Neodiprion lecontei: one gene and its partner. The protein of the gene in region 2 purifies or fractionates together with the protein of the main gene of each other region. This does not show direct contact. Links are inferred from orthologs where the notes say so. Each region holds a gene or a part of one and is shown on either strand. Other genes may lie near its edges.

Region 1 (12,116 bases), on a different chromosome or scaffold from region 2:
AAGAAGGCTCTTCGGGGAAAATAATTTATCAACATTATAACTTAGTACGACGACAAAACTTCGCAGGAACCTCCACATATACAACGAAAATCATTCAATTTATTTAGGCTATCTTAGACGGTATTTTTAGAATAAAGAAGAAAAGAGTACCGCTCTCTTTGTTTTTCTCCCCGCTAAAAGAATTACATTTAAAAACTAAATAACCGCTCTGTACAAATGATAGAAGTGGTTAATTATATATTTATTTGTTCGAAACGGGATTTCACAAACCAATTCTATTTCTCGTTCTCAAACCAGTTGATAGAATTCTAACAGAGGTCAGTAACTTTATTATATTACACAGAAAAGCAGTGAGGTACGAGTTTAAAATTGTAGAGAGAAAGCAGCACCCTTTTATATTTACTTTTTTTTTATAAATTCAACAACATACGTATTATACTGTTATTAGTTAATACGCATGTAAATCATACAAGCGATTTTTTCCATTCTGTTATTTAAAGATACGCGTAATTTTAGTATGATCAATTTTTTTTTAAGATACCGAGTGAGTTTTTGTTTTTGCTTTTCATCTCTTCACTTCTTTTCTTTATCAGTATCAAATATCACTATGCCGTAATATTCACAAACATATCATACATACATACATACACGCACACACACACATATATATATACATATATATGCATATACAGCTTGAGCATTAGACTGCGTTAGCTGCATGGTACGTAACTTAAGGCATAACTAATTAAACACCCCGTATTTACATTATGTTTCTACCATGTCACGGAATCTGCGAAATTGTCCACTTCGTTGATGGTTAAAAAAAATTAATCGCACAATGAGAACAACGGCTCATTATTCGAGACAATAGATTTCCTTATTGATTAGCCGAATGCTGTTACTCTTGTCCGTGTCAGCCGGCTGATTGGCATTGTTAACCAAAAGAAGAACATCTATTACCGCCAATTCGATTCGTTTTACAATGAAAAATCTGGTCCCTGTCTGTACCATATTTCTTTTTCACTCCGTACTCATGACCAAGTTCATATCTTCACACAGAGATCTATTTTTTACGAAATTAAAAATATAACGATATCATTTTTTCAATTTCATATGCGTGGAATGGGATTTTTTCTCATTTCACAATTTACGCAAGACAATGGCTAAGGTTTTAGAATATAATACCTATCAAATACACCTCCTCCGTTACTCACTGTTCGAAAGATTTAATACATATGTTGTTTCATTTACTTCGTTACATTACTCTGTGACTAGTTTTTACCGTTAATATTTAACATCAAATGTACGTTGTGTAGATGCATAATTAACGTCTGTCCGTTTGTAATACAAAGCTGCTTTCATTTTCATTTACCACTATCAAGTATTAAACTTACAAATTGTGATTGATACTTTTGACAATATATTATACACGTTATAGATACAGTCTTAAACTGGCAGACACGGTACAGCAAATCATACAGTCACGTAAACTGATTTTTTTTTTAATTCTCGTATCACAGCCATATGACTTGTTATCATGGTATTTTTTTTTGTTGTTTTTTTTTTTTTTTTTTTTTTTTTTAATCCAGCGTTTCTTCAATTTGTAACTAACTTTTTTCAATCACACATATATCTAGGTATCGTACGCGGGAAGCTATACTTTTGTTGAATGAAAAAAAAAAAAACTGAATAATATACAAATTCAACGCATAAAAAAAGTTGTCGTTAGACTTGATAAATATTTTTGTTTACTTGATATTCAAAAGCAATTGCTAAAAAGAGAAGAATTCATCCAACTACTTCGTTAAATCGATTATTACTTCAGTCTTTCAAAATTGACAGAATAAGAAATTGTTTTCATTTTGTAAATTTCATTCAAACTAATAATTATTATGCAATGCAAATTTATATTTTGCTGTTCAATGAAATATCATCAGATAATGAATTAGCTGATTAAATTATGATTGTAATAACAACAACAACAACGACAATAATAAGAGAATTACAAGGATATGCTGACATTTTCTTTTTCACTTTCTAAACTATCTTTTATTTCATATGGTTTTAGAAACTACATATATACATCATTACAGAGTTGCAGAAAATTGCATTTTCTTCTGTTTTTGCGTTTTTGTTTTTTTTTTTTTGTTTTCTTGTTATCCTTTTCATGGGTAAAAAAAGGATACTTACATGAAAAGTAAGTTAACAAGACGTCTTCGTTTTGGCGTATCCCTTTAGATTCAATAAATTTTTTTTACAAAGCTTGGAAAGTATTACCTCGAATGTCAAATTCAAGAGTTTTATGTTTACTTAATATTAGGCACCGAACGGAATTTTAATGTATAGCAAAATTATTTAGTACACTGAGACCAACAAATGCCAACACAGCGAGAAAATTAGGTGTAGCAATACCGAAACTCCGTGGTCCGTAACACTTGTCATGGCACGGCGATCAGATGTAATTCTTATCGATAATTAGATTAGAGTTTGATTAAATGCTTAACTCGAAAAATTTTTACATGCCGTACTTAGTGCATTAAATTGATTTCATTTCTAAACAATCTGGACTAACTAGTGGAAGCGTGTCTGTATCGCTCAACTTGTTTCTTCCCTCCATTTTATAAACTCAAACTTGTGGTGGATATTTATACTTTTCATTACCCTTTTACGTTTTTTGCTTTTTTTTTTTAATTCACACTTCTACGAAAATCTTTCTTCAAAATATTTTATTCAAACGAACATTTGATTTCATGGATGGATAAGTTTGAATATGCTTGAAATGGAACGTAACAGAGGGTTCTAAATGGTGATGATAAAATATGTCTGGGAACATTGTTGTTTCTTTGTTTTCTCAACACTCGCTGTTCGCATATAAGACGTAAAAGAAAGTATTGGTTAATTAGTCTCAACACACTGCCGCATTCTAGACGTTATGAAAAAAGTTAGTAACAATATTGGTATCGTAGGGGAAGCCCAGTCCGAAAAAACACGAAAAATAATTTTTTTTCAACGATTCTTTTTTTTGCTTGTAATTTTTTCTAATGTTTTGTTTTTTCTATACATTTATTGTGTTAATATAATGTTACTCGTGAAAATGGGCTGATTCTTTGACGCTGTTTAAGAAACGCAAAAAAGAAATAAAAGTACGCTCAGTCTTGTAAAAAATCTACTTTTACTTATTATCCAACAGTCCAGGTGTCGGATATTTTAATCACTTTTTTTTTTTTTTCTCTGGGAATAGAACCAGCCCATCCCAAACGTATGTGTTACCTGGCCACGTAGCAATTTCGTTTACCTACTTAACAGGCCACTGTGTGTTTCGCACGTTGGGCAGCTATTCTTTGGCTACGTCTTAATGCACGCGGCCGCAATAATGTATCATTGTCGTCATCGGAGTCTGAACTGTCGAGTGAAGTTCCGCCTGCATACCGCCAACTCCCTATTGTTCCGTCCCACTGTAATGGAGATTAAAAGATCTTGTTTTATATCGCAAAGGAAGGGATTCGTAGGTAACTTTGTCTTGTAAGAAAAATATCAACCACTTACAGAAGTCGATACTATTTCTTGATGAAACGGATGCCAACTGACATCTCTGACGCAGCCTTTGTGTCCATTGAGAGCATTGACTATTACACCAGTCAACACGTCATATACTGTAACGTTACATGTGTAATGTTTTGAAACATACGATTATATCAACATACTGTGAAAATCACTGATAACACTGTGTAACAATGTTAATACTATGATGAAATAGAGAAATTTCTGATGATTTACTCACTTATTATTTTTCCCGTCGCACAACCCGTGTATATATATCTCTGACCCGTTGTCGCGGCCGGTGAAAAATGACAACGTATCAAAGTCTGCAACACGGAGTGCCCTCGATACGTCATCACGCTTGTATCTCCTTCGAGCATATTCTTTACTTTATACACTGCAACAGGTGAAGAAACTTAATTATTGATATACTAAGGAAAATGGAACGGTAACCATTTACACAATTCGCAAATGAGTAATCTATGTATGCCGGAGTGAAATTAAGGTATGCCTTTTCCATCGCAACTTACAACTTTTTGGTACTCGCTGCCACCTGTAATCCCAATTTTGAGTAGCGACGGCCTTGCGTGTGTTTAGCTCGGCATTTTGGTCCGAGAATGCTCTGACATCCCATAACTTGATTGTCTGATCTTTACTGTTTGTTACCAAATATCTGCCGTCTCCTCGTGGGTCGATATAAGTTATTCCGTCCATATGCCCTGCGAGAATACCTACAGGGTGAGGATCAGTTTCGCTCAACGTTCTTCTGTCCCAAACCTAAGAAATCATTGAAGAAGAAAAACCGATTATAAGAATCGAGATGAAAAATGTTGTTTACCGAAAATAAACCTTCTTACCTTGCAAAGACCGTCATCTCCTGCACTGTATAAAATTTGTGACGTGTTGTCTGCAAAGGCAACTGTGTTTACATCGTCACCATGACCCGCGATCTGGAAATATTACCTTGGATTAAAGCAAGCAACTTCAATTAGCTAGTCGTTCGTTACAACCGAGTAACTTACCCTAAGAGCACGTTGATGACATTCTCTATCGTATACATATAGATATCCGTCATTAGCACCTCCAAGTATTTCCCTGCCGTCGCTAGAGAATACTAGAGAAAATATACAAAATCTCCGGTCTTCTGGACACAACGAGAGGGATTCTTGGATCACAGAATCACCATAAACGGGACACAAGTATACTGCAAGATAATCAAATATTATTAACGGTAGCTCGTGCTAAGTTTTATCGATAGTTTGACTACGTTTCAACCATGCTCATGTAATTGTTCATGAAAAGTTCACTCACGGCATTCGGACCAACTAGAATATACAATGTAGTTGCCATCGGGACTGAAAGCTGTGTCTAGAATACTCCATCCAACGTCACGTGCCGGAATCTTTTTGAATTCTAAAAATTCTCCATCCTGTGTGTGGTAAAGACGTAAAAATCGATCTGAAAATAAATTTTTTTCAACATATATTCATTTTACATATGAAAATAGGTATAGACCGCAGATCAAGTTTCCAAACTGTGATATGGAATGTTGATAACAGGCTGACCTTGACTGGCGGTAAGGAAAAATCTCCCATCTTTGGAATGCGATCCACAGAAAGCCTTGCTGCTGTATTTAGCCACTTGACGCATTTTGTTTGGTAGAAAACTGCTGGCTATTCTACATTTTTGTCCTGCACTAAATCCTGGCCCTACGGCTCTTTTTTGTATCATAGAAGTAATCGACGTTGCTGGTTTACCGCCGGTGTCGCCAAGTCCGCAAGCCTGTTTTGTTGCCAGACTTATTTCACTCTTCTAAAAAAAAATAAATCAAATCAACATACATAATAACAACCCACACACAAGCGTGAAATTTGTTATGTTTGAAGTTCGTCGAACTTTCTTACGTCGAGAATCGATGTGTTAGGTTTTGTCGTCACTCTGGGCGGTTGCGAACTGCCGTACTCTTCGTCGGAGTCATCCTGATCCGAAGATATGATATGTACCTGCCCACTGTTGAAGAAAAGAATAAAACATAAATATCAAATCAAATTAGTTTTTCTCAGTTTAGAATTTCCTCCGTTTATATAATTTTGCTGCATGGAAATGAAAATGACAATTCTCAACACAGTTTCATTCATCTGTAAGAAGTCAGCTGTTAATGAGTGCATAAAAATGTGAACCAGTTTTCCGAGAACAAATTCTACGTACGCCTGCATGCCAAGTTGAAATACTTCGTAAATAAAAAATCTGTTACTGTTGTCAAAGTTGACTAAAGAATAACGGGGTACGTATGGAGAGGTTAGGTTAGGTTGACACTCGTAGGAAAATCCGAAATATTGCGAGATTATGTATATTGGTTGCAAACCTTCTGATCAAATATTGCAAGATAGCGGTGAGTCCTGGATCCTGTTCGAAATCCATACTACGCGAATTTATGGCTCCCATCCAGATGTGAAATGATGAATTTTATAAAGCGTATTATATATACAACTGAAACAACCTCGAGGACGACGATGACGACGAACAAGAAGAAGAAAACAACTAAGAAGTAGAGAAGAGAAATCTAGGCCCAATGACGGTAGTAAACTTCAAAGTGTGCGTACACCTCTTCACCAAAGTCTCTCACTTTACCCACCGTACAGGTTTTGCTTTTTCACTGAATATACTTATGTAGGGTGTATTTTAATTGCACGTTCACGTTCCACGTTTCGTCTTAATTATATTAGATATATACATATATATGCATGTGTATGTGTGTGCGCGCGCGCGCACGTGCATGTGTGTATATATTTTATATATATATATATAAATATATATATACATATATATGTATATACCCAAAAAATAAATATAAAATTAAAAATATACGGTATTCTCAACACTGCAGGCCTTCTTCGCGCGAAAGAGAATCATTTATCTTGCACAGTGCGTCGAATTGAGGAAAACAAAATAAACAAATAATAACAGGATTATGTATTCGATGGATCGCGATCCCTCTTATCGCACGAACACTTATACGACGATCGACTGCAATAAAATTTCTGTCTCTAAACGAATGTCATGTGACTTACACATATGTCATTGTACAACATCGAAGAAAATTCATTATTCCGGCACAAAATTCTCTTATCGCCTTACAGAGTCAATTCGCTCAAGGTTTTATCGTGCGCCGAATGTGAAAAAAAAAAAAACCAAAGAATCAAAAATATAGAAGGGACAAAAGAGTGGGGGGAGGGGAGGGGGGAATAAAGAACGAGAAAGAAAGAAAAACAATTGACAAACAACAAACAAGGAAGAGAACGCCTGTCACATAATGCGCAATATATTTTTATCGCGTGCTACATACATGTATGTTATATATAACGTCTACGTGCATATAATGTATGTACATGATTGGTAATCTAGCTCGTTTTTGGGATATGCTTATCGGCTAATAGCATACAGTGAATCGATTTTTAAATGTAGCAATGATGCGCAAAGAAGTAGTAGGAAGTTAGTAACGTCAGGGTAACGAGGCTGGGGGGGGGGGATGACTATTTAACAATTTTGTAATGACTTCGAAGTGGCTGAGTTTTGAACATATGAATTACTTTTGTCTTATTATTACAATTTACTGCATTTCGGAGATTCTTAAAATTACGGAATAACGGGTTTTCCGAAAGACGAATCATGACAATAACGTTACGAACTTCGTTGACTGAGGATACTGAGGATATAATACAACGCTAACTTCAGTCTCATTATGCTACATAGGACATACACTCTTGTTTCCGTGTCGAATGAAAGTATCACGCGAAATATGGAGGACGATCCTGATAATAATTATACGTAATAACACAATTTTTGGCAAGTTTCTGCGCCCCCACGAGACGGTGAAGGGAAATACGTTGATTCGGTTGGTTGGAGATAAATGTACGTACTCAGATCACGTGACGTTATGAGGATAGAAAGCAAAAAAGAATAAAAATAAATATTCAACAACGCTGTAGATGTTGAAAAATTATTTAACACGGTTCCTACATGTCTAATCTTTAAACATGTGCGAACTTTAAATATCAGGCCGGTTGTCGAATTATACACAATTGTAGAAGCAGACTATTTGAAAATTCAAATATTTAACGCGTACAAGCAAATGTGTCACTGCCTACGGCAGTAGAGCGCATTGATTAAATAAGTTTTCACAAGTGAACAACAGAGATATTTTTTTTTTCTTGGCACAATCCTTGGCGTTATAATTATATAAATATTGCACAATTTTTAGAACAAGAAAATTGGTCGAATTATAAATATTCGGGCATTCGAATAGTTTTTACATGAATTTCGTATAGAAGTAAACAGATCTTCGGGCCCTCCGAGTTACCCGAAAAATTCGCGCCTGCGACAACGATCATCCAACTGCGAGTTGTTTACCTCGGCATGAGATTAGGTAGGTATGTCGGCTTAATTAAACTACCCGTACAAGCGTAAAACGTAATTGACCGATGAGCCAATACTTTTAATCGAATAATAAATTCTTGTATTTCTTTCACCATTGCCTAATACTATTAGTTAATAGTTTCATACTCGAGCTTTTGTCGACAACAGCCGGCAAGGAGATTTCATTTCAATGATGTAATAATTTAGTACGTACTTTGATAATTGACAAAATACGAGTGTATAATTGGATAATTGGGACGATCGCTTATCTACAATATCATGCCTGATACGCGTTTAATAAGAAAATATATGTAAGGTATGATTATGTTGAATTTTTCTTTACCGTAGCAAGACAAATCGATGAATAATTTGCAACATCCTACTACACGGCGATATAATTGTCGGAAGATCGGTGACAGATACGAAGCTCACCTCTCGCGATCAGAGATTTGTAAAATCGCTGCGAATGAGTTATCGTTGTGACGGTTAGGTTGCTTTTTTGCATGTAAACATGTTACGAAATTGCACAACTATGGTTTAATGGAAAGTCGTCGTAGGATAGGAAAGATCGCTTTCTTCTTTATCGATGCTAGTTTTTGGAGAATGCATACTTGGTCGGTACTTAACTTCTCCGTGTCATAAACGACGTTGTTGTTGTCGTCGTCGCGCGTACCAGATGTATTCTCAGTATCCTTGTCAAGCGCATGCCTGACGAAATAAAACTACCTCTCCCAGAATAACCCACACTCATCCATCATCCATAACCCGGCAAGTATCAGCAGCCGTTTATTTTCGAGAAAATAACATTATACTTTAGTATTGCTGTCAAAATAACCGTCGTTTCTCATGTCAAATAGGTTTCAAAAACTTTTCTTAATATGATATCGGTCCGTTCGTTCTCGATTGTTTAGTTTTCTTGTTTTTATTTTTTTTTTATTCCTTTCCCTGTAACCTTCAAATTTCCTTTTAATCCCAGTGACCCGTAATACAGTAGGTCAAATTTCTTCTCTCTAAATTTACATCGGCACCAGTTTATACCTAACATCGTTCACGTCACTTGCACGATAGTCTTACATTAAGGTAGTTGCAATATCACAAATGAGTCATAATAAAGTCGGTGAAACACAATAATACTAATAACAACACTGATTTCTGCCAGACAGTTTGTTAGATATCTCTATTTTTTTACTTCAACAGCCGGCCGTTGGTTTTTTTACATGTAATAAAAGGAAACTATAAATGACATCACTTAAAAGATGAAATGCTTTTTAATCCACATCTTTTGTGTTTCCTGCAGCTAATTTTTCTCGTGTCACTGTCATTTCAGGTTGTTTCACAATTGATAGGCGTTAATATGCTTTTCATTCGACTACTTGTAATTCTGCTAGCTGGCGTTAATGCTGCATTAGCATTGCGCAGTTTTGCACGTGGCAGAAGCAAGGGTGGAAACCTAGGATCGCCTGTTCTCTCTAAAGATTACGTGCCAGTTGAGGATCAGTGGTTTGAACAATTTCTTGACCATTTCAACCCAACCGACGCTAGAACATGGAAACAGGTGTGTGATGATGTTTTATACTTATATCTGATGATCCTAGACAGGGAAAATTAGTTCTCATTTACTTAGCTCCGATTTTATGCTATATTCATTCAATGCTATACGATATACGCATTATTGATGGGAAAATCTATGTTGATAAACCTTATTTTTTCTTCAGCGATATTTTACCAATTCTGGATTCTACAAGAAAGGAGGGCCAGTCTTCCTTATGATTGGCGGGGAAGGAACTGCTAATCCAAAGTGGATGGCAGAAGGAGAATGGATTGAATATGCAAAGCAATACGGAGCCTTGTGTTTCCAATTGGAACATCGCTTCTATGGCAAAAGCCACCCGACTGCGTAAGCTGCAAAGTGAAATTTGTTATTACTTCAAAACTCCATGATGATAACTCTATGTATAGCTCGCATTGGCTTCAGGATTTTTTTTTGCAAATTCACCTCATGTAATTTTTTCCAGCGATTTGAGTGTGAAAAATCTCATGTATCTGAGCTCTGAACAGGCACTGGCCGATCTTGCTTATTTCATCGAAGGGATGAATCTCAGACATCAGATTCCTGCAGGAACCAAATGGATCACTTTTGGCGGATCTTATCCAGGTTCTCTGGCTGCTTGGTCTCGAGCCAAGTATCCTCACCTTGTTCACGGAGCCATGTCAGCCAGTGGACCCCTTTTGGCACAGATTGATTTTCAGCGTAAGCATTCGATAGATATGCAAACACTTCTTTCCGCATCAATAAAGCTCAGACCTTGAATTCGGTTGACCTGGATTGAATTAATTTTTAGATACCATTACAGGCGAAATCTCGTTGGAACAACAATATTCCGATGAATAATACGTTTCTACTATTTGTAAATTACAGAATATTACGTTGTAGTCGAAGATGCCTTGCGAACCCATTCCCAGGCATGCATCGATGCAGTCGTTACTGCCAATAAACAAGTTCACATAATGTTGCGTCATCCTCTTGGCCAGAAGGGACTTGCGGAAAAATTCAAGTACTGTACCGTAACGTTCTTACATATTATTTAACTTTATTTTTTAAATCAGCAGCAGTGACTCGCAATTTTTTTCCATGTCATCGAACAATCCAATACAATGTGTTAATTTTTCCTTGTGAATTTAAGGTTTTGCGACCCTATTGACCCCGGTCACACGAAAAACAATGATATAGCAAATATGTATGAATCACTGGCAAGCAATTTCGCTGAGGTAGTACAGTACAACAAGGATAATCGTAAAAGTTCAAAAACGGCCAACATAACGATTGACACGATCTGTAACATCCTGGTAGATGAGAACAGAGGTACACCTGTTTCTCGTCTAGCTCAGGTTAGCAATTTACTTCTCAAGGCAAACGATGAGAAATGTTTCGACTATAAATATAACAAAATGATCAGTGAACTTCGGAATGTCAGCTGGGCTGATGAGGCAGCAGAAGGAGGTTGGTAAAGTTCATACATAATCGATTGAGGTGCAGTCACGGTTCAAGTTAATTATCACATAAACTGACGCTTTCGTTAACGTTCAAAGGTCGACAATGGACTTATCAAACCTGCACCGAATTCGGATTCTTCCAGACATCGACTGCGCGACCTCAGCTTTTCAGCGAAACTTTTCCAGTAGATTTCTTTGTTCAGCAGTGCACTGACATATTTGGACCAAGGTAGATGTCAATTACTGTTTGATTGTCTAACATCGAAACGTACTTGCAAATTTTTATTTTATATTCACGTGCTCTGATTCTCTGGAAGTTGTTTGCGAACGAAAATGATTGTACATATCTAAATAATCACTTGTCCCAGAGACACGATAAACTTGCCTCAATTCATTTTGCAGATACAATATACATCTCCTGCAATCTGCGGTCGAACGTACCAATACAATTTACGGAGCTTTCGATTTGGATGTCAGCAACGTGGTATTTGTCCATGGAAGTATTGACCCGTGGCATGCTCTTGGCAAGATAAAGTCGACCAACCCTCGGGCACCAGCTATTTACATAAACGGTGAGTCACTTTATTTGATTAGAAAACTGTTGAAATACAGATATAAATCGAAATATTGTGTAGTGAAGTTGTCGTATTACACAGAATGGTATTACCTTTAATATCAAATTAACAATATAGAGTATTCAGCCACTGTTTGGCCTGGAATGTTTGTTACCTATTCTGGTTCTTGTAATTCAAGGCACGGCCCACTGCGCCAATATGTATCCTCAGTCGGATAATGATCCACCACAATTGACCGAGGCCCGGAAACGCATTGGTCAACTGATTGGTCAATGGCTTAAGGACTGAAAGACTGATTTAAATGATATGTATTGTGGACGATAATAACTCTAAATCCAAGCCAAGCTTATCGATATGATACAAAACAAGATGTAAGTAACTTGGCAAATCGTGATAATGTTCTACAGACTGTGAAGTTATATTTTATACAAAGACATGATATATATACCCAGTCGTTAAGTTTAATCTTAAATGTGAATGTAAGTTTCTTTCTCAATGCTGTTCAGTCTATTTCTTTTTGAAACACGTTTTACAATAAAGCGTTTTAGAAAGATTATTAAAAAAGACACTGTTCACTTATTTGTCCGATAT
Region 2 (10,422 bases):
GTTCGGTCCGCTAGATGGCGACAGCATTACGAGTCAGAACGGCGCTCAGAAGCAATAAGGGTCACAATCTGATTGGCGCTTAGTAATCAGGGTCCAATGTAATTGGTGCTTTATGGCACTTTTGCTGAAGCAACGTCATTTTAATTTTCCCTTTATAGTCACGCCTCTACTCTTAATAATGTTCAACAAGCTATGCGATACCGCATGCAATTTATCGATTACATTCCGATAATTTAAGGATCCACTGGTCTTCCTGATCTAGAAATGTCAACATCCCTCGTGCGTAAGAGTCTAGACATTTTGGGCTGTGACGACGACTACGTGAAACGAGGTAAATATGTGTCACCCGTGTCAACTGACACAACCTAACCTAACTTAACTTGACTTAACTGCCGGATTCACGCTTGTGAAAAATATGAAATATATACGACGTTATCATCGTTCCAGGCAGAAAGAAAAGGGCGAAAAAAAGCGAAGGCGTTCTGGACTTGATTCCAGCAAATCAGAGGATACATAACAACAAGAAGGGTAAAAAAGGTAGGCTGTCTCTCAGTGAACGATAATTAACCAATGAAAAAAGATTCGCCAAGTATATCTACAATTGTTTTGAGGATGTTGTAGAACAAAACATTTGTCCAAGTCGGTCTAAAAAGATTGGGATTAAAGAGGCAAAGCTCAGACTGAGCACGAAGATTGATGAGACAGATAAAAATATCGAGAGGCTACTTCTGCTTAGCGGTAATCGCATCGATCCTGAGACTTCGGAAAAGGTATTTTTCTGAAGCTTTTTATATTTTAAAAATTTGTTTCACAAACTGGCGTGAGGTAATATTGCAATTTTTCAGCATCGATGTTTCCTTAGAAATATTGATATTTAATTCAAGTGTTATTGTAAGAAGCATTTTATAGCATTTTGTTTTGGTTTTGCAATACAAATACTACATGTCACCCTTGCTATTCATATATTACAGCTTTTGAAACGGGCTTTGAAGAGACGTTATGTTCTGAAAGAAACTGAGCCTGCAGAGTCTGAGCAAACTGCGTTCACCGAAGAAGACTTCAAACAGTTTGAGAAGGAGTATCAAGTAGCATAACTGCAATAAGCCGTCTGTTGGATCAGGCGATAGGATGCTCAGTAGCGATAGAGTAAATGGTAAAGTGATCCTTATTTTGGCTTTCTGTTTTTTCGTTTATTATACAATCTGGGTGATAGGATTGCCCTTCATCGACGATAGTTGGCTGAGGTCGTTTTTTTATTCATCAAATATAGCTCTCATCGTACCAGCTGTATCAGGTCTCTTGTTTATTGGGGGTTTAGTATTGTTTACGTTATATCACGTCAGACCCTACCTTCAACATTGCAATCGAACAAAGTAATGCAGTGACGCGTTCGTCAAGTAGCAATAATTTATTATTATTCGGTGGATTGTACCTGCATTGTTGATTGGGGTAGAATTTTTCAGCACAAGACATCAAAGAAAAAGGAAATGAAACAAAACAAACATACATTACGTAATTGAGTTACATAACACGTGCATACGTATGCGCCCATGAACCAACTGCCCTGAGATAGCTGTATGCAACTTAAATTAGTATCATCGTATTCTTGGATTAGTATCGGAGTACCATTTGTTGAATAAGTGACCAAGTTTAGCGTCTTCGTTTACTTTATTATCAAACTGTGGTGGTGGAATAAATTGTTGGTAGCTTCATATTGGTATTCTGGTTTCAACAAGTGAGACGATAAGATTACTTCGCGAAATATAGAAAAATAAAAATAACTACGATGAGCGACTGGCTGATTGTTGGAATATCCGGAGTTACGTGCAGCGGGAAAACGACTCTGTCTAAAGAAATAAATGCCAAGTTAACCAACTCTGTAGTTATAAGTCAAGATGATTATTTCCTACCGACAGATAGCCCACGGCACACTTTTATACCTGAATTGAATCATATTAACATGGACATAATCAGCAGCTTGGATATGGAAAAAATGCACAATGACATATTGCAAGTAATTCAGGATTTTGAAACGGGAAATGGCGATGGGAACTGTAGAACTACTAGGAGAGTATTGATCGTTGAAGGATTTCTCATTTTTAGCTACAAACCAATATCAGATTTGACCAATTTAAAGTATTTTATTACCCTTGACAAGGATGAGTGCTGGAAGAGGCGAGAACTTCGCACGTACCTTCCACCAGACGTTCCGGGTTATTATGAAAAAATTGTATGGCCAGAATTCTTGAAACATAAGTCAGAAATAATAAATGACAGTAGTTTGAGCGAGGTTAAATTTATCGATGGATCAAGATCAAAAAAAGATATATTCGATGAGGTTTACAGTGCAATTAAGTGCCTGATGTGTAAAGAATGTAGCGAATGTACACAGAGCTTGTAGAGTTCCTCATGAAATTATAGGTGGATAAATGATGATTTGTATTATAATATAAATAAAAAGAAAACCTACAAGTTTTCCTTAGAGCGCAATTGAATAAATACATTATCGAATGTGCATTCAATAATATATGTCATTTTACAGTTTTCTTTAAGGACTTGTCCTTCTGACCGTGTTCCTCGTGCAGTGATTGTTAATCACCGATCCAAATATCCTTGCAACGACCTAAACTCCTGCAGCAAAGTAATCAGCAACAACTTTTTTGAGACTTTTCTCATCGAAAAGATGCAACTAACGGATGCTTAGATTACATAATTCTACAAGAAAATTTGTGAGTCAAAATTAATACTTTCCATTTTTATCTCGAATATTACAAGTCACAATCAACATTCGTTAACTTGGGCAATGACTGAATCAGTATTTTGTAACTTGTAATTCTTCCGTTTCCTGTTGCCGCTTTTGGAAAATAACATTGACTTCACAGTGAATACAGAATAGCGAATTTACTGCACTATGCTTATTAAATATTATTTCGAGTCAGTGAATTCACAAATTAACGTTGACTAGATAAATACCTGCTATAAATATTCAGAATATCTATTAAATATATTAGTATTGTGCCTTGGTACGCATTTATTGATAAAAAAATTCAAATTCCGAATAAATACCAGAAATGGTGAAATAGGTAGTTATCGATTGTTAACGAAAGCTGACGTATAATAGAATTCGTTGGCAACTTTAAATAAAGCTTATTTCAGAAAAGCCAATGCAATTTTAGTTTAGAACTTAGAATCTAGTTTTATTTGCAAAAACAGTTTTTAGTTGCAATAGAAACAAAGGTTAGAAATAACATTCCATACTTAGAATTCATCCGTAGATTACAAGACTTATTTTTACATTTAACACACCGTAGTTTCTAAAGACAAATAATTGGTAATTGCTGTGACAATTTTTAGTACACTATATATCAATTAGGCAGTTGTATTATCAGCAATGAGGTTTGTAAAAAGTGCGAATAATAGTAAACAAAAAAATTTGCTTTACAAATTTGTTTAATTATGGTTAACTGAAATGAGCTTTAACATTTTCTTTCCTTTTCTCGATGTGGCTTTTTGAAAATGATTTTTCCCTTCTTTTTTTCCATTTTTTGTGTTTTTTTTTTTTTTTTTTTTTTGTATTTGTTTTTTAATAAAGATAACGCACGATCATGGTATGTTACATGGAGTAAGTGCTATGTTTAGACTGTCCTTGGGTATTGGTTACATTGGTATGTACGGGACCTGTCAATGGCTCATCTTGATCTACATGACAGCACACTTTACGCACATATTGAGGTGCCAAAAGCACTTCTTCCTCCATCTCTAGAACCCGTTTATCGAGCTCCGTGCAAGCTTCCATTTCTTTTTCAAGCCTGGCAAGCATTTCGGGTGAGTTATACTTCTCGGGATCGTCGTGAAACACGACCATTCCATCTTTCTGATTGATCGTTGCAAATATCTCGCCGTCTTCAATCTGAAAAAGAGATTATGCAGCCGCTTAGTAAAGTTGTTTAGCCGCAAAGCAAAAATGACGTGAGTGGCCAATCGAGCATGCTTCTCACCATGTTTAGAATATATTGCTCAGCCTCAGTGGGCCCGGGAAGTTGTGCCCTGCTAGCAACGTCCGTAAGACTCAGGGTGAGGAAAGTTTTGGTGAGTCTCTGTATGTTCTTTTTGTACAAGTAGCGTAGGACTTGTTTCACCAATCCCCAGTTGTGATCTCTGACAAACAGCTCTTGGTGCTTGGTCATCACGGTGTTAACTTGTGCGCAGCTATTGGTCGAGTAGGCCGTCGCGATATCGTGATACCCCTGACTCAGTGGCTTGATAAACCTGTTAACGATCTGACTCGCATGCTTTGGTATGGTCACTATTTTACCATGAAGAATCAACGACACCAGCATGTACTTTTTGTACGCCTCCAACATTATGTGGCTCACCGACATCGCAGGGGTCGTTATGCAGACCTCGAAAAAGTACAAGGCTCGATTGTAGTTTTTCAATGCCGTGTATATCATTCCACCGTAATAATAGTATAGCAAAAAGTATTTTGCATCAAAATATCCACCCTCTTGACTTATACCGGTTATATCAGTATCCAAAAACTCTAGCGCAGGCTTGAAACACTTTGAGAGTAAACACAGCTGGCACAAATCTGCGTGTATAGATGTCAGCTGGCTGTCGAACAGCTGTATTTTTCGTATTGCTCTGCGCAAGAGGTCGACACCTCGCAGAGGCATTTGCAGGTCTATCAAGAGTTGGCTTAAAAGGTGGCATAATTCTGTGTCTGAAAAAATATACGCCATGTGTTAATCATCGATGACGATGTATCGTAGAAGCAGCTAAATAGTGACCAAGAATGCAAAAATTATCACATGTATCCGGGGCGAATCTGACTTGCTCCCCGTTGCATCCTACGATGAAGTCTTGGACCTGATTCAACAGCGGCTTGTAGGCATCTGGGTTGTTTGCTCCGTTGGCATTTGGCAGGGAAAGTTTTACGCAGAGGACGGCTAGGATTCCCAGTGAGTGTTGCTGTAGGTCAAGTGTTTCTAAGACATTGTCTAAATGTGGCCCGTTTCTTGCGAGCGTGGTCGTAGATTTATTGATAATGTCACAGAGCTCTCTGAAGTTGCCTGCGAACATGAAGAAAAGAATTTTTAAAACGCGAGGACAGAATAAAGAGCAAAATATGTAATTTTTATTTTCTTCAGTTTTGCTCGGTAGAAACTTCGAAATTTTTCAACCGGTGGGTCAAATTCTACCCGACCGGTGTTCAAAAGTTCAGATTTCAATTTTCCGATCACCTATCGCTGTTTCACAGGCAAAAAACGATCATGCGATTAGCACTATTGAGGTTATGTACCCGGTTCTCTCAATTCTTTGTTCTAATCAAATTGGCTCCTACCTTGCGTTGAGAGCGTACGGACATTATTTACAAATAGCTCGAGTGACGATGCCATTAGTGATGATACTTTCATCATCAATATCAAGTAACGTATTTATATTTACAACGTTTATTATATTTCTTTTCAAATTATCGGAGCCAGTGACGTTTTGAAACCTTCTACGAACACTCAGACCGCTCTGAAGCTCTCGCAGTTCTTACAGAATTCCGTCAAAGGGCTAACTTCATGATCCTTGCTCGTCGATCAACGGATCAGTCGGCTTCGGACGTATTCGGTCGGCAAATATTTTTTTCGCTTTTTTTTTTTTATCGTCTCTTCAGTTTCCTATGTTTACTCTATTTACTGACAGTGTAAATACCGCTGACACACGAAATGACTTTCATCGGTAACGTTACCGACATGTTTTTGTGCTCGAAATTTAGTTCCAAGAATCTGATCAGAGTGAACGTCGCTGCTGCAGCGACGCTACTTTCAGGCTACTCACAGAATTCTGGGATGCCGAAGAGTTCAAACGTGCTCGGCTCGTACCATGTATTTGGATTTGTTCAAATTTATACTCAATTTAATGGTTCTTCCTAATTAACTCGATGTGTGGGGCTGGCCTTGGTAAGTGATTGTCATGCAAACAGTTCTAAGTCACCGAGAAGTTTGTTTTCACCCGGTATGCCTGTAACTTGTTGTTTTTTTTTTCAATGGTGAACAAACAACGCTAGCGATTTGACTGTTACGTATACATCGCACCGAAGTCTATATTGGATTCTCCGTAACAGTCTCGTATGCTGTACATACGGCTTTTCGCGCTTCTCAAGTGGTAGAAGTGATCACTTTTATTGTGATCGTGGTCTTTTTTGAAAAATACACTTGCATCGACGTGACGATAAATCACCCTCGGTTATCTACAGGCAATCTATTTTTTACAGTATTATTATTCAGTTGTGGATGTTTCTCCAAAGATTGCCGCATTATTTCTTTTAAGCAAAGAAAAACGAGAATCTAATTTGTTTACTGGCTGTGTTGTTGAAATTTGAATTTAGCGCGTAAATTAGTGATTCAACATGGCTGACCTTGCCACTCTCTGCAGTTAAACAATCTCGAATCAAGTCAAGTCAGTGGCGCCTTCGGCAGACCAACAACACGCGAATCGATTACTAAAAACGACTGTGGCGTCGGTAAGAATGATTTTTAATAATGCAGTCTGTAAGCTTAGCGTAAATAGCTGAATTCTATAATTTGTTAGATGTATAGAAATTTGCTACAACGTGAACAGTTTTTCAGCACCTTTTATTCGCGCATTTAGGGGTTTTACTCTTCTTCTCCGTTATTGGTTTAACGAATTTGTATAAAAACATTGTATTTGGTTTACTCGACGTTGAGATTTTGAGTAAAAAAAAAAAAAACGTTAGTTACATCGAAAGTTTATTCGAATTTCTACACGTATCACACGTTTTACTTTATAGATCAAGCTTCTATATTACCGTTCACCAGGATCCTACAACTTAGGGTAAAACGTATTCGGATTGTTACATAAACGAGAGCTAAATTGTTTAATTTCAAACGATTATCAATTCCATGAACTAATCGAGTTGAAATAACATTTCAAACATGTCAGATTATAATCGATAAATAACAAACGAACGAGTCAACGTCACGTTCAAGTGTTGTATGGTGCATATTATGCATGTGTTGTAAGAAAAATTAACAGATTAAAATGAAAAAAAAAAACACTTGAAAATCTGCGATAATGACGCGCGACTTGGAGTTGCGGTCCTTCCAAGTTATTATACGACTATATAATGATATCGCGGTACTCGATACATTACACGAGAAAGTAAACATACGTCAATGGCGCATGTAAGTAATTCATTTACCTACCTTTAGGAATAATATCATACGAGACTGACTACGTCAAATGGCTCACGCATTAAATTTAAGTACTCACCGCGACATTACACTTTGCATACATCTTTCAGGTGTGAATGTCGTGATTTCGGTAATCAGAGTCAGTAAAGGAAATCGTCGAAGATTCTTATTGACCCATCAAATTATATTGCTGTACAAGCCGTGACAATGAAAATAATAGGGATGAAGTTAACAATAAGTTAGTTTAAAAGTATCATACGGTTGTAATATTATTTGTCTCGCATTTCACTCGATTTAACTGTTACTGTAATATAATATTTAGCTCGACGTGATTGCGTCTTGCGAAGGTATTTTCATCGGAATACGAAAAGTTTTTTTAAACGATAAACAAAAAAAAAGGTGAGAGTTTTTTTTTTGTATCAGTTCTCTTCTTCTCTTGTATAGTTGTAATAATAAACGGTGAACATGAATACCTAATAAATAATCGGAATCGATTAGAATTCATTTGGCTGCATGCGCATGAGGTTGAAAAAAATGTCGTTGACTGATTAGGGATTAGTAAAAAGGAACTGTAAGAACGATCTTGAAGGAACTTGTATACACTCTATTTGGGAATACCTGTACTAATGGTATAATCTGTCGAATGATCAACCGCGCTCTAAAATATAGGATTCGGAGTAATAAAGATCGTTGCGTTGCGTTGGGAAACCGCGGTTACTTGGCAACGATAAAACAATAATCTATTCGCCGCGATGATCACGCGAAAACGTTCTAAAAGCACAGTGCAACGATCTTTGTACAAAGTAAACTGCAATAACGAACGATTAGCAATTGAAAGAAGCGAAAGATACGTTATAGTATAAAAAATTGTGTCGGAGAAAATTCGAAAAAGATAATGTCCAACGTTACGTACAACGAGTTGTGGAAAGAGACGCAGGCGAGTCTCGAGGAGATTTCACAGACCGATAATATGGTTCAAAATTTAAAGGCCCAAAAGGACAGGCAAAAGGCCCGACAAAACGTGGCCGAGCTTTACGTCCGGTACATAGTAGTGACCAACAAACTTAACCAATGTTACGACCAGGTCGTGCAGCCGCAGAAGAGGATCCTGATTAGAAAATTGCTCGACTCCTGCGTGGGCCGGGTTTTGGAGCTGAAACACGAGCTCGTCGACGTCGATTTGTCAGAGTACAATTACTACGACGATGTTTTGCTCAAGTACGAGGTCACGCCTCAGGAGGCAGAGATTCACGTTCCCACCTACTTCCTCAGGGAACGGGAGACCGAGATTAGGGAGAGGCGAAAGTTCATCGAGGATACGCTCAGGGGCCTCGGTTATTTGCACGAAGAACCCGCACCAAGGAAAATGACCGAGGTTGAAGCCATACGGTTGATACAGGTTCGAATCCATCTAGGATCAATTGAAATTTACGTCAATTATACAGCATATCTGACATGCGGAATAGGAAATAGCCAAATTTTTTATTTCCTAGTATGAACATTTTTTAACCATCAATTTTCAAACATTTTTGATACAGCTGTTTACCGTTTCTCATTTCTATATATATCAAAGTTCTCGACAAATTATCAACTCTTTTTATTCTATCATTTTTTTATCGTTTAAACGAAATAGCTATTTTTCGTTAAATATGATTTTGTTTTTAGTAGTTTCATAATTAAGTGTTCACAAACATCAGTGTTTGATATATTTGAAATTTGTCCATCAAGATTCGAAAATATTTTTCATTTCACATAGTGCCAAACACGTTCGAATTATTTATAAGGCTACATATATATTTATAATTTTCTAAAACAGAATAAACAAAATAGTCGAAGCAATTTTACCAATGTACACAATTTTATCGTTTAACACTGTTTACACAGAGTTGAAAATGCTTAACAATACTTTTAACGTCAATAACGTACAGAGTGAACTGCTAACGACTTGATGCTTCGATGCGCATGCCCTAAAATTCGAAAACGTATGCGGTTGTTTTATCAGGACGACCAACATTCATAACATCAGATGACAGGGCGCCGCGATATATGTAACCTAAAAAATGTTGGCAGTCCTGTTCATCTTTTAGCGCATGCGCGTTAAACCATTCGGTCGTCCCCAATTCACTCTGTATTTAATAATAACTCTAATTTTTACGAATCGAAAAATGTTCAAAACACCCTCCTTTTCGGTTGGTTGAATCTTTTTTCACCAGACTGTACCCGCGCAATATGAACTCTTATTAGATTACTGCTTGAACACGATATCTGTGCATGCGCATGACGGATTAACACCGTGTTATACATATGCAAATTAATCTTTGGGCTCGATTTATGTAACCGCGATAATATGTGCGATTTATATGCCATATAGGATGCAATTATTACACTGTATCAACGAATGATGATCGATATCGGTGATTGCACAATACGAAAATTATACAAGCGTTCATATATCATTCGATTAAGCCGTTATTGTTATTATTGGAGTATTTAAAAAAACAAAAAAAAAAGAAACAAATTTTCGCTGTTTTTTTCTTTACACTGAATCACATTCACTTGTGATAAAAATTAGACGAATTTATCGAGCCGATTGACGTAAAAACAGCATCGGCGTCGTTGTCGATTTCGATTTTATCAGCGTATAATTGTTATAAATAAATAATATGTAATTCAGGCACACGAAAGAGCGAGGCAAGGACGCGTTCGTTTTCAATTTATGAAAGAAATAAGGGAAATGAAAGAAAGATCTATGGCGAGGCAAGAAGCGGAAGGCGATGATGCCTCGATCGGTATCTCGGCCGCTTTGAGGATTCAAAAAGTATGGAGAGGCTACACGACGAGACGAAAAATCCGCATGAGACGTATCGAAGAGATGCTTTTAATCGGTATAATTCAATTTTACCTAAAACTAAAAACAACAATTAAGACTTGAGGTTAGATGGTTCGACGATTTTCTATTCGTTTCTTGATTTTTTTCCATTCTTTGTTTTCTCCTTTTGAAAACAATTTATAAAATTTGAATCGCAGGTATGGTTCAGCCAAGCCAAGTGATAACCGATAATTTTCGGCAGTCAGAACGCGTCAAGCAATACCGGCACCAAAAACAATCGGAATATCAAAAAGTTTACGAGAAATTATTGGTCGATGTCAAGGAATCGATACGAAAAGAACGGGGGGCTATTATCGAGGAAAATTTACGTATGGAAATAAGAAATTG

The links. Proteins that work in one complex are often made in the same cells at the same time.
Region 1: the proteins of COP9 signalosome complex subunit 3 (region 2) and DDB1- and CUL4-associated factor 11 purify together in Homo sapiens (affinity purification with mass spectrometry; 3 studies listed by BioGRID and IntAct, counting the BioPlex papers as one, with this or other methods). This does not show direct contact. The link is inferred for Neodiprion lecontei from reciprocal best matches to the Homo sapiens genes COPS3 and DCAF11.

The regions. Positions count from the first base shown.
Region 1 is NC_060261.1:2,509,750-2,521,865, forward strand, and holds DDB1- and CUL4-associated factor 11, read right to left. Parts: upstream 8,708-12,116; coding exon 8,583-8,707; intron 8,442-8,582; exon of another isoform or gene 8,335-8,441; coding exon of another isoform or gene 8,300-8,334; intron 6,638-8,299; exon of another isoform or gene 6,623-6,637; coding exon of another isoform or gene 6,612-6,622; intron 6,564-6,611; exon of another isoform or gene 6,409-6,563; intron 6,253-6,408; exon of another isoform or gene 5,986-6,252; coding exon of another isoform or gene 5,906-5,985; intron 5,814-5,905; exon of another isoform or gene 5,757-5,813; coding exon of another isoform or gene 5,749-5,756; intron 5,551-5,748; coding exon 5,445-5,550; intron 5,353-5,444; coding exon 5,106-5,352; intron 4,999-5,105; coding exon 4,852-4,998; intron 4,745-4,851; coding exon 4,563-4,744; intron 4,491-4,562; coding exon 4,398-4,490; intron 4,318-4,397; coding exon 4,071-4,317; intron 3,938-4,070; coding exon 3,782-3,937; intron 3,654-3,781; coding exon 3,547-3,653; intron 3,456-3,546; coding exon 3,300-3,455; 3' UTR 1,541-3,299; downstream 1-1,540. Other genes in the region: putative serine protease K12H4.7, read left to right, coding at 9,311-9,511, 9,672-9,853, 9,972-10,207, 10,376-10,511, 10,641-10,957, 11,047-11,179, 11,353-11,522, 11,704-11,813. UniProt on the Homo sapiens protein: May function as a substrate receptor for CUL4-DDB1 E3 ubiquitin-protein ligase complex.
Region 2 is NC_060262.1:2,586,664-2,597,085, forward strand, and holds COP9 signalosome complex subunit 3, read right to left. Parts: upstream 5,628-10,422; 5' UTR 5,421-5,627; coding exon 5,345-5,420; intron 5,073-5,344; coding exon 4,812-5,072; intron 4,724-4,811; coding exon 3,999-4,723; intron 3,911-3,998; coding exon 3,614-3,910; 3' UTR 2,402-3,613; downstream 1-2,401. Other genes in the region: active regulator of SIRT1, read left to right, coding at 265-331, 448-537, 622-770, 972-1,094; nicotinamide riboside kinase 1, read left to right, coding at 1,787-2,401; dynein regulatory complex protein 11, read left to right, coding at 8,101-8,604, 9,880-10,090, 10,233-10,422. UniProt on the Homo sapiens protein: Component of the COP9 signalosome complex (CSN), a complex involved in various cellular and developmental processes.